2 linked regions of the Pelodiscus sinensis genome follow. The protein of the gene in region 2 interacts with the protein of the main gene of each other region in a pairwise test. Links are inferred from orthologs where the notes say so. Each region holds a gene or a part of one and is shown on either strand. Other genes may lie near its edges.

Evidence for each region. The genes of interacting proteins can lie anywhere in the genome.
Region 1: the proteins of HOXA1 (region 2) and CHRD interact in binary tests that used the Homo sapiens proteins (3 or more experiments, as listed by UniProt). The link is inferred for Pelodiscus sinensis from reciprocal best matches to the Homo sapiens genes HOXA1 and CHRD.

Annotation. Positions count from the first base shown.
Region 1 is NC_134720.1:48,394,229-48,401,847, forward strand, and holds the start of CHRD (chordin), read left to right. Parts: upstream 1-4,582; 5' UTR 4,583-4,894; coding exon 4,895-5,027; intron 5,028-6,884; coding exon 6,885-6,988; intron 6,989-7,619. UniProt on the Homo sapiens protein: Dorsalizing factor. Key developmental protein that dorsalizes early vertebrate embryonic tissues by binding to ventralizing TGF-beta family bone morphogenetic proteins (BMPs) and sequestering them in latent complexes.
Region 2 is NC_134712.1:196,637,310-196,645,196, forward strand, and holds HOXA1 (homeobox protein Hox-A1), read left to right. Parts: upstream 1-4,837; 5' UTR 4,838-4,885; coding exon 4,886-5,507; intron 5,508-5,912; coding exon 5,913-6,268; 3' UTR 6,269-7,452; downstream 7,453-7,887. Other genes in the region: HOXA2 (homeobox protein Hox-A2), read left to right, coding at 1-177. UniProt on the Homo sapiens protein: Sequence-specific transcription factor. Regulates multiple developmental processes including brainstem, inner and outer ear, abducens nerve and cardiovascular development and morphogenesis as well as cognition and behavior.

The DNA.
Region 1 (7,619 bases), on a different chromosome or scaffold from region 2:
CCCTTTAACCCGTCAGTTATAAATCCCCGGCTGTGGAGCAAAACTCATCCCTGACCCAGCAGCAGGCGAACCAATAGTGAGGGGTATTAGCCTCAGGTGCCCCACCCCACACAGTTCCCAGACTCAGGGGATGTAAGGAGATAAGAGCGGCCAGACTGGGTCAGACCAAAGGTCCGTCTAGCCCAGTGTCCTGCATGCCCACAGTGGTCAATGCCAGGTGTGGGAGGGAGTGAACAAAACAGGGAATCGTCATGTGATCCTTCCCTGTCACCCGTTCCCAGCTTCTGACAACCAGAGGCTAGGACACCACCCCTACCCATCCTGCCCAATAGCCATTGATGGACCTATTCCCCATGAACTGCTCTCATTCTTTTCTGAACCCTGTTAAAGTCCTGTTCTTCGCAACATCCTCTGGCAAGGAGTTCCACAGGTTGTTTCTGCGTTGTGTGACGAAATATAGCTGGTCAGCCTGCTCCTCAGAAGGGCTGGAACCACATGTGTAGCTAGGGGGCTGAGAGCTTGTAAACCAAGCCATATTCCTTGTCCGCAACAGAAATCCCTCCAAGCCAGCAGGTGCAGCATCTTGTGCCTTGCAGCAGGGCTATATTGGAGGATACCGGACTGGTTTTATGGAGTGCTGGGTCTGCATTAGGGCTGTGCACCGACCTTTCCACAGCATAGCAGCTACATGGGGGCAGGCAGGGCCTGATCCTGCCTGAGGAAGGAGCCCTCTTGGGAGGGGCTGAGCACACAGCCCCATTTGTGGGAGGGGGGCTGGGTTCATCCGGGGTGGGGTAGTTCCTTGTCCCCAGGCCCAGCCTGCACCCTTGCAGCTGCTGGTTAGCAAGGTCACACAGAGTCAGGCCTAGAACCCTGAGCACCCGGGAAGCTGGAGAGAGCCTGGGGGCGGGGCGGGAAGGGCTTAGAGTCATCGTGGACAGTTCGGTGAAAACCTCTACTCAACAGGCAGCGGCAGTGGAAAGAGGCGAACAGAGGGGGTGGGAATGACTGAGAAAGGGTTAGAGGGTAGGACGGAGAACACCCTGCTGCCTCCGTCCACATCCGTGGCACGCCCACATCTGGGATAGCGCATGCAGGTGGGTGGGGCCCGTGGCCTGTGATCCCTGCAAGCTGGGCACTCGGGCGGCCACCCAGGAGAAGTTCAAACACCGCCCAGCTGATTAGCAGAGCACCCCCAGCTGGCAGCAGCTGGCAGCGTGTTTCTATGGGTGGTGCACCTCCGCACATGCCCTGGTGCATAGAACAACATTTATTCTGCCCATGGATGGAAAAAAGTAATGGGAACATGGTAGGCGGGATAGGAGGTTCAGGTGGGATGGGGGAGCAGGGTACAGGTGGGGTGGGAGTACAGAAGGAATGGCTGTGCAGGAGGGTGGAGGTGCAGAGGGAACACATAGGATGGGGTACAGGCGGCACAGGGTGTTCAGGGGGTATGGGCGGGGTGGGGTGCAGGGATATGAGCTGTGTGGTGGGGTGCGGACAGCACTTGTGGGACGGGGGTGAGGTGGGAGTGCAGGCTGTGCACTGGGGTGGGGGCTGTGGGTACAGGAGGATATGGGCTGTGCAGAGAGCTGTGGGATGCAGGGGTATAGGTGGGGACCCGGAAGGGGTGTGGGAGGTGCAGGCTGTGCAGAGAGATGGGAGTTGTGGGGGTATGAGCTGTGCAGTGGAGAGGTGCACAGGATGGGGAGTGCAGGGGATATGAGCGGGGGTGCTGAAGGTCTGGGCAATGTGGGGGGCAGGGAGATATGGGGGGCAGCATGGGTCTGGGTAGCACAGTGGAAGGTGCGGGGGGTCAGGGCAGCATTGTGGAGGACATGGGCGTACAGGCAGCAGGGGGTCGGGAAGCACAGTGCAGGGTGTGGAGGGGTCCAGGCACCACAGTGGAGGGGGCAGGAGATATGGGTGGGGGGCAAGGGGTCCAGCAATGTGATGGGGCAAAGGTTAGAGGCAGAGGGTGGGGGCATCCAGGCAGTGCAGTGGGGGGCAGGAGATCCGGGCAGCACAATGAGGGGCAGGGGGTACTGACTGGGATGGGGGGGGTCTGGGCAGTGCAGTGAGAGGGCAGGAGATTCAGGCAACACAATAGGGTGGGGGATACAGGCAGAGGATTACAGGGATTTCAGGCACTACGGTGGGGTGTGGAGGATACAGGTGGGATACGGGGGCCTGGGCAGTCTGGTGCGGGGAAGGGGTTTCAGGCTGTACAGTGGGTGCAGGTGGATACAGGCAGGGATGCAGGGATTTCAGGCGCCCTGGTGGGCGCAGGGGGATACAGGTGGTGGGGTGAGAGGGTTTCAGGCAGCACAGTGGGGTTCAGAAGATACAGGTGGGGGCTGCAGGGGTCCAGGCAACAGGGTGGGGTCCAGTAGTGCACTGAGGGACGGGGGATATAGGCAAGAGGGTGTGGGGGGTTCAGGCAGCACAGTGGGTGCAGAGGGGTTACAGGCGATCGGTGCGGGGGTCTGGGCAGCATGGTGGGTGCGAGGGGATACAGATGGGGGTACAGGGGTTTCAGGCAACATGGTGGATGCAGAGGATACAGGCAAGAGGGGTACAGGGGTTTCAGGCAGCACTGTGGATGCGGGGGGTACAGGCAACAGGGTGCAGGAGTTTCAGGTGGTGTGGTGTGTGCGGAGTGGTTACAGGCAGGAGGGTTCAGGGATTTAAGGCAGCAGGGTGGGTGGACGGGTACAGGCGGGAAGGTGCCAGGGTTTCAGGTAGCATGGTTGGTGCAGGGGGGGTAGAGGCAGGGGGGTGCAGGGGTTTCAGGCAGCACAGTGGGTGCAGGGGGTACAGGCAGGGGCACGTGGGGGTTTCAGGCAGCGTGGTGGGTGTGGAGGGGTTATAGGCGGGAGGTGCGGGGCTCCGGGCACCACAGTAGGATACAGGCAGGAGGGTGCAGGGGTTTCAGGCAGCACGGTGGGTGCAGGGGGTACAGGCAGGAGGGTGCAGGGGTTTCAGGCAGCACAGGAGGTGCAGAGGGTACAGGCAGGAGGGTGCAGGGGTACAGGCAGCACAGCGGGTGCAGAGGGTACAGGCAGGAGGGTGCAGGGGGTACAGGCAGGAGGGCAGGTGCAGGGGGTACAGGCAAGAGGGTGCAGGGGGTACAGGCAGCAGAGCGGGTGCAGGGGGTACAGGCAGGAGGGTGCAGGGATTTCAGGCAGCACAGTGACCGCAGGGGTTTCAGGCAGCACAGGAGGTGCAGAGGGTACAGGCAGGAGGGTGCAGGGGTACAGGCAGCACAGCGGGTGCAGAGGGTACAGGCAGGAGGGTGCAGGGGGTACAGGCAGGAGGGCAGGTGCAGGGGGTACAGGCAGGAGGGTGCAGGGGGTACAGGCAGGAGGGCAGGTGCAGGGGGTACAGGCAAGAGGGTGCAGGGGGTACAGGCAGCACAGTGGGTGCAGGGGGTACAGGCAGGAGGGTGCAGGGGTTTCAGGCAGCACGGCGGGTGCAGGGGTTTCAGGCAGCACAGTGGGTGCAGGGGGTACAGGCAGGGGTTGCAGGGGTTTCAGGCAGCACAGTGGGTGCAGGGGGTACAGGCAGGGGGTGCAGGGGTTTCAGGCAGCACAGTGGGAGCAGGGGGTACAGGCAGGGGGGTGCAGGGGTTTCAGGCAGCACAGTGGGTGCAGGGGGTACAGGCAGGGGGTGCAGGGGTTTCAGGCAGCACAGTGGGTGCAGGGGGTACAGGCAGGAGGGTGCAGGGGTTTCAGGAAGCATGGTAGGTGCAGGGGGGTACAAGCAGGAGGGTGCAGGGGGTACAGGCAGCACAGTAGGTGCAGGGGGTACAGGCAGGGGCTGCAGGAGGTTCAGGCAGCACAGTAGGTGCAAGGGGTACAGGCAGGGGGGTGCAGGGGTTTCAGGCAGCACAGCGGGTGCAGGGGGTACAAGCAGGGGGGTGCAGGGGTTTCAGGCAGCACAGTGGGTGCAGGGGGTACAGGCAGGAGGGTGCAGGGGTTTCAGGCAGCATGGTAGGTGCAGGGGGTACAGGCAGGAAGGTGCAGGGGATACAGGCAGGGGGGGTGCAGGGGTTTCAGGCAGCACAGCGGGTACACAGGGTACAGGCAGGGGGTGCAGAGGTTTCAGGCAGTACAGTAGGTGCATGGGGTACAGGCAGGGGGTGCAGAGGTTTCAGGCAGCACAGCGGGTACACAGGGTACAGGCAGGGGGTGCAGAGGTTTCAGGCAGCACAGGGGGTGCAGGGGGTACAAGCAGGAGGGTGCAGGGGGTACAGGCAGCACAGTGGGTGCAGGGGGTTCAAGCAGGAGGGTGCAGGGGTTTCAGGCAGCACAGGGGGTGCAGGGGGTTCAAGCAGAGGCATGCGGGGGTTTTAGGCAGCGAGGTGGGTGCGGAGGGGTTCTAGCGGGAGGTGCGGGGCTCGGGCAGCACAGAGGGGGCCGGCAGCGCAGCAGGAGGTGCGGGGGCCCGGGCTTCCCTGCCGCGGACAGGGCGGGGGCCCCTCCGTCTGTTCTCCGGGGCTGTCAGTCGGGGCAGAGGCAGCTCCGCGGAGCGGGGCGTGCGCGGGGCCGGGCTGTCCCGTCCCGCTCCCCCCGTCGGGCTCCCCGCCCGCTGCCATTGGGCGGATCGGCCGGGCGGGCTGCGCGCACCGCGGGCCCAATCCACAAGCCCCCCGCGGCCCCGCGTCTGCTTCCCATTGGGCTCCGGGCCGCGGGCGCTGGGACCCCCGCTGGGGGCCCTAATCCCCCGGCCGGCGGCTGCCTGCGCCTCGTTAGCGGGGCCTTTGTTTGCTCAGGATGCCCCCGCTCCGCGCGGCCCGTGCCGGAGCCTATAAAACCTGCCGGGGGCCGGGGCCGGGGCACTGGGAGCCCTGACTCGCCCCGCGCCGCCCGCGGGGTCCCAGCCGTGCGCGCCCATGGCCCGCCTGCCGCTGCTGCTGGCCGCGCTGTCCCTCGCCCTCCGCCCCGCGCCGGCCGCCGCCTCCCGCCCCAAGCCGCTGCTGCCCATCCAGCCCGAGAAGGACCCGCTCCCCTCCAAGGGGGCGGCAGGTAGGGGCCCGGGGCGCGGGGATGGGGCGGCAGGTGGGAGCCCCCCGGGCGGCGCGGGGCAGCGGCTGGTCGGGGGGGCGGGGGCGGCCGGGGGCCAGGCTGGGGCGAGCGGGGCCCGCGGAGCGACTCCTGCTGCCCTCCCTGGCCCAGCTGCGCTCCAGCCTCCATCTGCTTCGCCTGCATCCACTGACACCCCCGTGCGCTCGGCTTGGACGCGTGACAGCGGCGGGGAGGGGCCGGGCCGGGCAGCGTGTCACCAGCGCGGCAGCTCACAGCCCTGCCCGCTGGCCCAGCCCCGCGCCAGCCCTGCCAGGCGCGTGCCAGGGCTGGGGCAGGGGGGCAGAGCCCTGCCCCGTGCCAGAGGCAGCAGGCGGGTGCCAGGGCCTGCGCGAGGGGCCAGAGGCAGCCGGCAAGCCCCCATGGCATGGACATGGGCTGTGTGAGGTGTCCTGGGTGCAGCGGGCGGGCAGAGATGGCCCAGGGTGAGTGGGCCCAGGCCAGCCCCTGGCTGCCACAGGAGAGCAGAAGAGGGGGATTGGCTGGATGTGAGGGGGGAGTCCGTCTGGGTGCAGCAGGGTGGCACAAGGCCGGGTGCTGGGCCGCAAAGTCACATGTGGGTGCAGCAGGGTGGCACAGGACGGTGCGGCAGGGAGAACATAAGAACGGCCGTACTGGGTCAGACCAAAGGGCCATCTAGCCCAGTATCCTGTCTGCCGACAGTGGCCACCACCAGGTACCCCAGAGAGGATGGACGGAAGACAATGATCAAGCGATTTGTCTCCTGCCATCCCTCTCCAGCCTCTGACAAACAGAGGCCAAGGACACCATTTTATCCCCTGGCTAATAGCCTTTTATAGGCATCACTGAAACCTGGTGGAATGAGAGTGGCACAGGCTGGGCTCTGGGTGCGGCAGGGTGGCACAGGCTGGGTGCTGGGTACGGCAGGGTGGCACGGCTGGGCGCTGGGTGCAGCAGGGTGGCACAGCTGGGCGCTGGGTGGCATGGCTGGGCACTGGGTGCGGCAGGGTGGCACGGCTGGGGGCTGGGTGGCACAGGCTGGGCTCTGGGTACGACGGGGTGGCACAGGCTGGGCGCTGGGTGTGGCAGGGTGGCACAGGCTGGGCACTGGGTGCGGCAGGGTGGCACAGGCTGGGTGCTGGATACGGCAGGGTGGCATGGCTGGTCACTGGGTGCAGCAGGGTGGCACAGAATGGGTGCGGCAGGGTGGCACAGGCTGGACGCTGGGTGCGGCAGGGTGGCACGGCTGGGCGCTGGGTGCGGCAGAGTGGCACGGCTGGGCGCTGGGTGCGGCAGGGTGGCACAGGCTGGACGCTGGGTGCGGCAGGGTGGCACGGCTGGACGCTGGGTGCGGCAGGGTGGCCCGGCTGGGTGCTGGGTGTGGCTGGGTGGCACAGGCTGGATGCTGGGTGTGGCTGGGTGGCACAGGCTGGGCGCTGGGTGTGGCTGGGTGGCACAGGCTGGACGCTGGGTGTGGCAGGGTGGCACGGCTGGGCGCTGGGTGCGGCAGGGTGGCACAGGCTGGACGCTGGGTGCGGCAGGGTGGCCCGGCTGGGCGCTGGGTGCGGCAGGGTGGCACGGCTGGACGCTGGGTGCGGCAGGGTGGCACAGGCTGGGTGCTGGGTGCGGCAGGGTGGCACGGCTGGACGCTGGGTGTGGCAGGGTGGCACGGCTGGGCGCTGGGTGTGGCAGGGTGGCACGGCTGGGCGCTGGGTGCAGCAGGGTGGCACGGCGCTGGGTGCGGCAGGGTGGCACGGCTGGGCGCTGGGTGTAGCAGGGTGTCACAGCTGGGCGCTGGGTTGCCGGCTGTGCGCTCAGGAGTTTGTTCCCCATCTCCAGGCTGCTCGTTCGGAGGCAGGTTCTATGCCCTGGAAGACACCTGGCACCCGGATCTGGGCGAGCCCTTTGGGGTGATGCACTGTGTGGTCTGCTACTGTGAGCCGGTAAGTGGGGGCCCTCCTGCCCCTAGAGCACCTCTGAGGCTGCCCACTCGGTTGCTGCACTTCACAGTGGGCAGTGGGCACTGTGTTTGGCTCCCCCGGGCATTCAGGGGGCAGTACAGAGCCCTGGGGAGGGAAGGGGGCAGTACAGAGCCCTGTGGGGGGGGAAGGGGGCAGTACAGAGCCCTGTGGGGGGGGGAGGGGGCAGTACAGAGCCCTGTGGGGGGGGCAGTACGGAGCCCTGTGGGGGGGGGCAGTACAGAGCCCTGCGGGGGGGAAGGGGGCAGTACAGAGCCCTGTGGGGGGGGCAGTACAGAGCCCTGCGGGGGGGAAGGGGGCAGTACAGAGCCCTGTGGGGGAGGGGGCAGTACAGAGCCCTGTGGGGGGGGGCAGTACGGAGCCCTGTGGGGGGGGAAGGGGGCAGTACAGAGCCCTGTGGGGGAGGGGGCAGTACAGAGCCCTGTGGGGGGGGAAGGGGGCAGTACAGAGCCCTGTGGGGGGGGCAGTACGGAGCCCTGCGGGGGGGGGAAGGGGGCAGTACAGAGCCCTGCGGGGGGGGGAAGGGGGCAGTACAGAGCCCTGTGGGGGAGGGGGCAGTACAGAGCCCTGTGGGGGGGGAAGGGGGCAGTACAGA
Region 2 (7,887 bases):
GTCCCTTCTTTACAGGACTTTAGCGTTTTCTCCACAGATTCCTGCCTACAGCTCTCAGATGCAGTTTCACCCAGTTTGCCAGGATCTCTGGACAGTCCTGTAGATATTTCTGCTGACAGTTTTGACTTTTTTACAGACACACTCACTACCATTGACTTGCAGCATCTGAATTATTGAGAAATTAAAGACGTCCTATCTATCGCAAAGGGTTATGGCTTCTTGTTTCAAATTCCTTTTTTGATTTTTCTTTTCCTGGTCAGTATTTTCTGTTTATTAATTCCCTGTACTGTGTTCCAGAGCCATTTTTACTGTTTCTTATGAAGTTTTAGTTGTGTCCATTTTAACCTAGTCACATTCTAGGTCCCTCTATGAAAGCAATATATGAGGCCTGTAAGAAAGTGATCATATAGAATTGTATCTTCACTTTCTTTTTATTTTTGTATTACATTAGGATGCGTTGTCATAAGTATTTTTGGTAGAATAAATTCTTGTTTGCTACAAGTAGCTTTCTTCTCTCTTTCTCTCTCTAGACATAACGGGTATTCCCCCCCACCCCTCCTAATTTATCCTCAGAAATAACATTAGACATTCTGGTCACAATCTCTCACCTTTTGGTAATTTGATAGATTTATTAGAGCGAAAAAAATCACATTCAATTTCTTTATTGCAAAGGTTCTCACAAGTCAATTCAAAGTACCCGATGAGTCTCACCAACAAAGGTAATAACTAAACCCCTCCACATCAAGATTTCTTCTTTTTAATGTACATATAACAGGTTGTCTATGTGTGTGAACGCAAGTCTTGGATTTTCTAACTCGTGACAAAAACCATAATGTGCAGTTTCGGCTGTTACAGGCAAAATATAATCTATTATACATGGGAACGTGCCTGCCATAGAAGCTGGCTTGTTACACGAGTGGAAGACTCATTTTAAACACCGTATTCTTCTGTAACTCAGCGCAAATATGTCCACCAGGTCGTTTTCTGAAACACGTCCTTAAAAATACAAAGGCTAACAAAGTGCGGCTTGGATTAGCTCCCATGTGCTGAAAGATTCCAAGAAAACAAACCTAAAAAAGAGAGGAAATAAGAACAATTATTATCGAGAAAATCCATTTCGGAGGGATTTAAATTCTAAATGCAGTTCCTTTCGGGCTTTTCTGCGGGGTCTCATAACGAGGTCGCTTTCTTTTAAAACCGGTTTGCGATGCTAAGGGTGGGTCATTAAAACTGGAAGCGAATGGTGAACATGTTTCAATTGCAATGAAGCCACTTGAACGGCTCACTGTCCCAAATGTGTAACTTTTTTAATTACAGCGGTAACGAAGCTCATTAAAAACTACAACTAATTAGGTAAGAATATATTATCGATATTAATAACCCAGTTCAGAAGGCGAGCGGGTTTCTTTTTATACTGCGCTAAAATCAAGCAACAGATGCTTAGTAAGTAGTTTTACTGCTCACAGATCGCGTCGCCTTTTGATTTTGAATATTCTGGGGTATATCTGAAACGCGGTCAATGAATCCATGTGTCTGGAGTAGTTTGTTTCCATTTCATTTGAGGTGTGTTGTTTCTCTGATCCGCAACACTCTGTGGAGCTGGGATGCGTGGGCAATAGCTGGAAGGGCTGGATGCAATTCTTCCTAAACTCATAAATCACGCTCTTTCTATGAATGAGAATGTCATCAAAGAGATCAATGACAGGAACACATGCACAAATAAAAATCCTCTTACGTATTTGCCGGAGCCGGGGATCCCCGTCTGAAACCATTAAGTTAGGAGGCGTTTAGTCATAATTCATTTTTATTGCTCGTTTAAAACAACAGATTGGCTGAGCTGCGGATGCCGCAGAAACCTCGGCCCAGCTTCTCTCTCTCTCTCTCTCTCTCTCTCCCTGCTTCAGCACTTTCGCTTTTGGAACAGGGCAGTTTCCTCGAGGATTTTAACGCCTGTTCGAATGGACTTTAATTATTGGCGTTACGATATTTCGCTAAGACTTTTACACAGCGTGATGTCATAGCGTCTTCTTAAATGGACCGGGCTGTTTAATCAAAGGCCAGCAAACTTCTCTCGGGATTTATTTAAATTCAATATCTGCAAATCTAGCTGATAGAATTCCTCTAAGAAACGCATTGTTACCCCTAAAGTTCGTGTGTGTGTGTGTGTGAAAGACACACAGGCATATACACACAAGTATTATTTGGGGAATGTTCCAAGAATGCGCACGAGGCGCCAGAAATGCTTCAAAGCTTTGAATTGCTGGGGAAGGAACTCGACTTTCTGCAAACCGATGGGCCGAAGCAACAAAGGGGGCAGGCTGGGGGCTAGCATAAAGGTTTTCCTTTTATAAGAGCAGCATAGCTCTGAATTTTGTGTGCATATGCCATCGTGTCTGAGGGCAACTTTTCTCTTTGGGAGGGAGAAGAGGTATTTTATCCCTGGTGTCCCTCCTTTCCATTATGTGGCATGGAGGCACTGTAATGGCAGCAGAATCCGAGGCATTGAAGGAGGACAATGTAACAAAAGACACGGATTTCTTCAAAACAATGGTACAGAAATGAAGGAAACCGTTTAAAGGAAGCAAAGGAGAGTAACAGAGGAGCTGTTACTTGGCAAAAACCACGGGTAAATATTGGGAAAGGAATTCTATCTGCTGTTAGATTTGCAGCTACATTGTTTTTAAATATGGAGAGAAGTTCACTGTTCTTGCAGTAAACAATTCTGTTCTATTAATATGATGGTATGACATCAGTGGTGTATATAAATAGATTATACATGCATGGTATATTATACACTTTTGTTAATCGTCAAAGTTTGTGTGAGAGAGAGAGACCCAGGAAAAAGACATCTCTTTTTCGGTAAACAGATACACCAGCCCGAGTCTGCACCTGGTGTATACAGCATTTATCACAACGGATTGACAAGAATTAAATAAGACAATATTGCAGCCCAAAAAGGGTTTGAGGGACCATTGTTCCATACCGGCTTGCTGGCCACCCCTCCCTTTGACACCCCCCCCCCCCCGCTTTTAAAGACATTGGATGTTTTCAATCGACTCTAATCTGTTCAAGTGTGTAAAATGTAAATAGAAAGACAAACCTTTTATGGATAAGTTTAAGAGGGGGAACGTATATTCGGTGATATCAGGGGGGGCTATGGAGGTGAAACGAACACATGGGTAGCCCGAATAGGAGCCTCGGAAACTTTTGGTAGCTTATCACTTGGAAGAGGATGTTGCACTTCAGTGTGTGTGGGTGGAGGGAGAGGGCTGGAGAAAGGAAAGGGGGAAATAGCCTTTTATATTTTAAGATACAAGCAACAATCAATCGGGCACGGTGACAAAGCAACACATGCCAAAGTTGAAGTGTATCTGCATAAATACACGGAGAGTTCTTCAGACTGAAAAAGATAAGAATAAAACTATTTCCGAAGTTACATGGCTATCTGCATGTTGACTAGCTCTTGAACTGTGTGAAAAGATAAGGTGAATGTGAACTCAGATGCCAAACACCATCCACGCTTTTCTATAAAATGGTACAATTTTCCTTGCCTGGAACAAGAGAAAGTTTGAGATAGATCACCCAGGGGGTTGTGGTGGTGTGGGGGGGGGGGGGGGGGAGGGAGGGGCTTAGCCATCTGTTACCTTTCCCCTCTACTCTCTGTCTACTCTATGGTGGAGTAGGCAGCCACCAAGTGACAAAGAGGATTAATTGGAAATAGGGACTGCTGTGGCTGGCACCTCACCTCCTTTGCTTTCCCCTCCCCCTAACTCCTGGGCATGTCCTCCAGTGCTTGGGTGTGTTAGGACCTGTCCCTGGATCTCACGCATTGCATCCGTGTGTGTGTGTGTGTGTGTGTGTGTGTGTGTGTGTGTGTGTGTGGCACAGGACCCCGCAGATGGATTGCAGAACCTGGAAAAGCTTCCACGTTTGCAATCGTCATCCATTTTCCTGCCTTTCCTCCCCGCTCTCCGCCCCCCGTCCCCTCCCCAGCCCCGACACCGACCGAGCTCTAGGCAGAGCCCTAACAACCAGGGGCCGGTGCAGCAGCGCTCCGGCCGCTCCGCTGGCCCCGCGCCCCAGCACAATGGCGTTAAATTACAAAGGCGCCTCATTTCCATGCTAATCACAGCGGCGCGGCGGGGACCCGGAGGGACAAGCCCCTTTAACTCTTAGCTGCTCGAGCGCGGGGCTCTCCGGAAGGGGATACCCCCCCCGGGCGGTGTGAGCCCCGCAACGCCGCTCGGAGCCCCCCTTTGCACAGCCCGCTTCCCCGCCCCGCACATGCACCCTCCAGCCGTAGGACCACGGGGGGGGGGGGCTGTCCCGATCGCCGAGGGGACTTCCCTGGAGCGGCGCTGAGGACCGCTGGACACCCCCACCCCTCCAAGCGCCCTGGGAAGGGAGCGGCCCCGACCCGCTGTGGGCGCCCAAAGCGAGCGAGCGCCTCTTACCTGGCCGCCTCCAGCTGGGGCTCCGAGCCCTGTAATCCAGGCTGCAACCCCCCCCCCCCCCCTTCAACCCCTCCAGTGGCGCCTCCGCTGCTGCAGGCTGCGCGCCCGGGCGCACACTGTCTCTCCGGCCCCGGCTCCGAAGCCCCAATGCACTGGCTCAGGGGGAGGGAGCCGGGGGGGGGGAGAGGGAGGTGGTGGCGGCTTCGCGTCACCTTGATGGAGGAGCGCTCGGAATTTAAATGCCACTGAAAGGGTGATCCATCACCAGCCGGAGCAGGGCCCTTGCAGCAGGAGGCTCAGCCATTGGCTGCCGCCCTCACGTGCCCCCAGCTCACTGTACATTCATATCATTTTCCTCCCGGCCCCATGGAGGAAGTGGGAAAGTTGGCACGGTCACCCAGGGCTCTGAAGACCCGGCCACTCGGTGATAAATGGACACGGCGAGGATGAGTTCCTTCCTCGAGTACCCCATCCTCGGCGGCGAGCCCGGGGCATGCTCTTCCCGCACCTACCCCCCAGAGCATGGGATTACAACTTTCCAGTCCTGTGCGGTCACTGCCACTCACTGCAACGGGGAGGATCGCTTTATGGTTGGCAGGGGGGTCCAGATAAGTCCCCACCACCACCACCATCAGACCGGTGCCTACCAGCCTCACAACAATCTGGGCATGTCCTACTCTAGCTGTGGCACGGGATATGGCACCCAGAACTTCAGCGCGGGTTACAGTCCCTACGCACTAAATCAGGAAGCAGATGTCAGTGGAGGGTATCCCCAATGCGCCCCCGCCGTGTACTCTGGAAACCTCTCATCTGCCATGGTCCAGCATCCCCACCCTCACCAAGGTTATGCTGGGGCCCCGGTGGGTCCCGCTCAGTACATGCACCCCTCATACGGACAGGAGCAGCAGAACCTGCCTCTAGCGAGTTATAGCAATTCCTTATCCCCTCTCCATGCCAGCCACCAAGAAGCTTGTCGCTCTCCTTCTGCAGAGACCTCGCCTCCAGCACAAACCTTTGACTGGATGAAAGTTAAAAGAAACCCGCCTAAAACAGGTTAGTCGCGATTTCAGAGCAGGGGGCTGTTTCTTTCCTCTTCCACTTTCTTTAATAAAACGAGACCAAACCCTTCTTACCTACAGCGGGCAGGTGCCTTGTTGTTTACAGGTAAGGAGGTCTGAGACCACTAAGGATGGACAGGGTCCTCCAGCTGATCGAATGGAAGTTCCAAGCGGGGGTTTTCTGTGGTAATATTTCTTGTAATTCGTAAACAATTTATCAAGTTGCCTTTGATACACACTAGTGGCCGACTTTATGTTAGCACCTCACACTCCATCACTCACTGTCCCCGGATTCCTCTCGTTGTAAGAAGTTCTTGTTTCATATCGTTTTACCTGTGTGTACATGCTGTGATTATGTCGCCTGTGCCTCACTCATTGAACGCTGACTGTACTTTTGCAGGGAAAGCTGGAGAGTACGGATACGTAGGTCAGCCCAACACCGTTCGGACCAATTTTACCACCAAGCAGCTCACAGAACTGGAGAAAGAATTCCACTTCAACAAGTACTTGACGAGGGCAAGGAGGGTGGAGATAGCTGCTTCACTGCAGCTGAATGAAACACAGGTGAAGATCTGGTTCCAGAACCGTAGAATGAAGCAGAAGAAAAGAGAGAAAGAGGGGCTGCTCCCCATTTCCCCTGCTACCCCAACAGGAAGTGAAGAAAAAACAGAAGAATCATCAGAAAAGTCCAGTTCATCCCCATGCACCCCATCACCAGCTTCATCTACCTCAGACACTCTAACTACCTCAAACTGAAATATTTCTGGCCCCCACTGCATTAGATCTATGTCTCTCACTCTAGAGCCACATCTTTAGCAAGCTTCATTGATTTAAAGTATTTTTAATCTTTCAGTCATCTTTACTTTCAATCCACTTGTTTCCAGAGAATTTAGTTTTAGAAGGCTCTCCGGCTGTTTAGTCTATGCAGAACTAAACAGTGGTTTCCATAATCAGGTTTCTGTTGACCACTTATTCAATATTTCTATTTTTAAAAATTCCAGCTCGCGCTGTTATTTGCTGCAGAAGATTTGTTGGCACAGTTATAAGAGTTTCTCTCAGTAGAAAAAAAAATCAAGGACATTTCTATATTTTTCCTTACATAAAGACAGGATATGTAGAGTACATAACCTCATGAAGAGATGCACTATTGAGAGTGTTTACACGAATTATAGTACCTTCATCCTTTAATTTAATGTATTCTTTTTCGTGTGTATGAGTTTGCTGGTTGTAAATACTTTGTCCAAGAGATTTATCTTTTTACAGATTTTCTAGAAATGCTGTTTAGATTATCAGATTAAATAGGGTAGGTACATTCTCAAAGTTGGATTCAATTTTATATTGTTAAAACTGATGATCATATAAGATGATTTGTTAATGTCAATCAGATACCTCAAATAATGGCACGGTTTCTTTTGATGAGATAGAAGAAAAAGGCTTCAATTGCACTAGGTTTTGTAAACCTTGCGTGGTATGTTCACTCCCCCATCTGTGCTGGATTATATTGGACCTAAGGGTATATTATCCAAAAGACCTGACCTACTCCTATTTTCATATTAATCCTACCCTCGACTCGATGTCTTTTCGACCAAATCGTAAATGTGATGAATGGCCAAATGAATGTATATTTTATGTGATTCGTGTATGGAACACTGCATGATGCACAGTGCTTTGATGTACTTAAGGTACACTGAGTTTTATCAGTTGTCATTTGTGAACAGAACCATCTTCCTGATTTTTCTGTGCAATCATTTAAAGGTTCTGAGATTCTGAGCGTGATGAATCCAGAACAGAATTTACGGGTCCGAAAATGTCTGTAATAAATATATTCACGTTTCAGGTATGCTTGATGTGGGTCCTTTTTATTTCCTCTCGTGCCGTTGTTGATCATACTTAGCTCAACATTTCATTGTCACTGATGTGGCCTTTGATATGCGACTTAATAAAAAATAATTTCTCCTGATCGTGAGGTGAGGTCAGAACTCTGTTCGACCCTGCCACATTACACAAGTCTAATTCCCTTTTTTTAATGTTTCACCAATATTATCTTTTAGGAAATATAAGAAAACACCCGCTCTCTAGTGCAGCAGAGGGAATTTATGAACTAGATCTATTTTTGAAAAACACATACTAGAACTTCCTGGTTCAAGTGCTAACCTTTTCACCTCGAACTGCACGCTGACATAGATATAAACAGCACTCTTCAAAAGCAGAAACTGTCTTCAGTCAGTTTTCCTTCACATCGTAGGCCCATAGTTCAGAGAGTCACATTTAATTAGCCCTGGTTTAAAGCTGACCCAAGAAATGCAGCTTCATTCTCTCTCCCATTGCCAGTGACATCTTTAGGATGTTCACAACCGGAAAGTTGGGTGATTCTT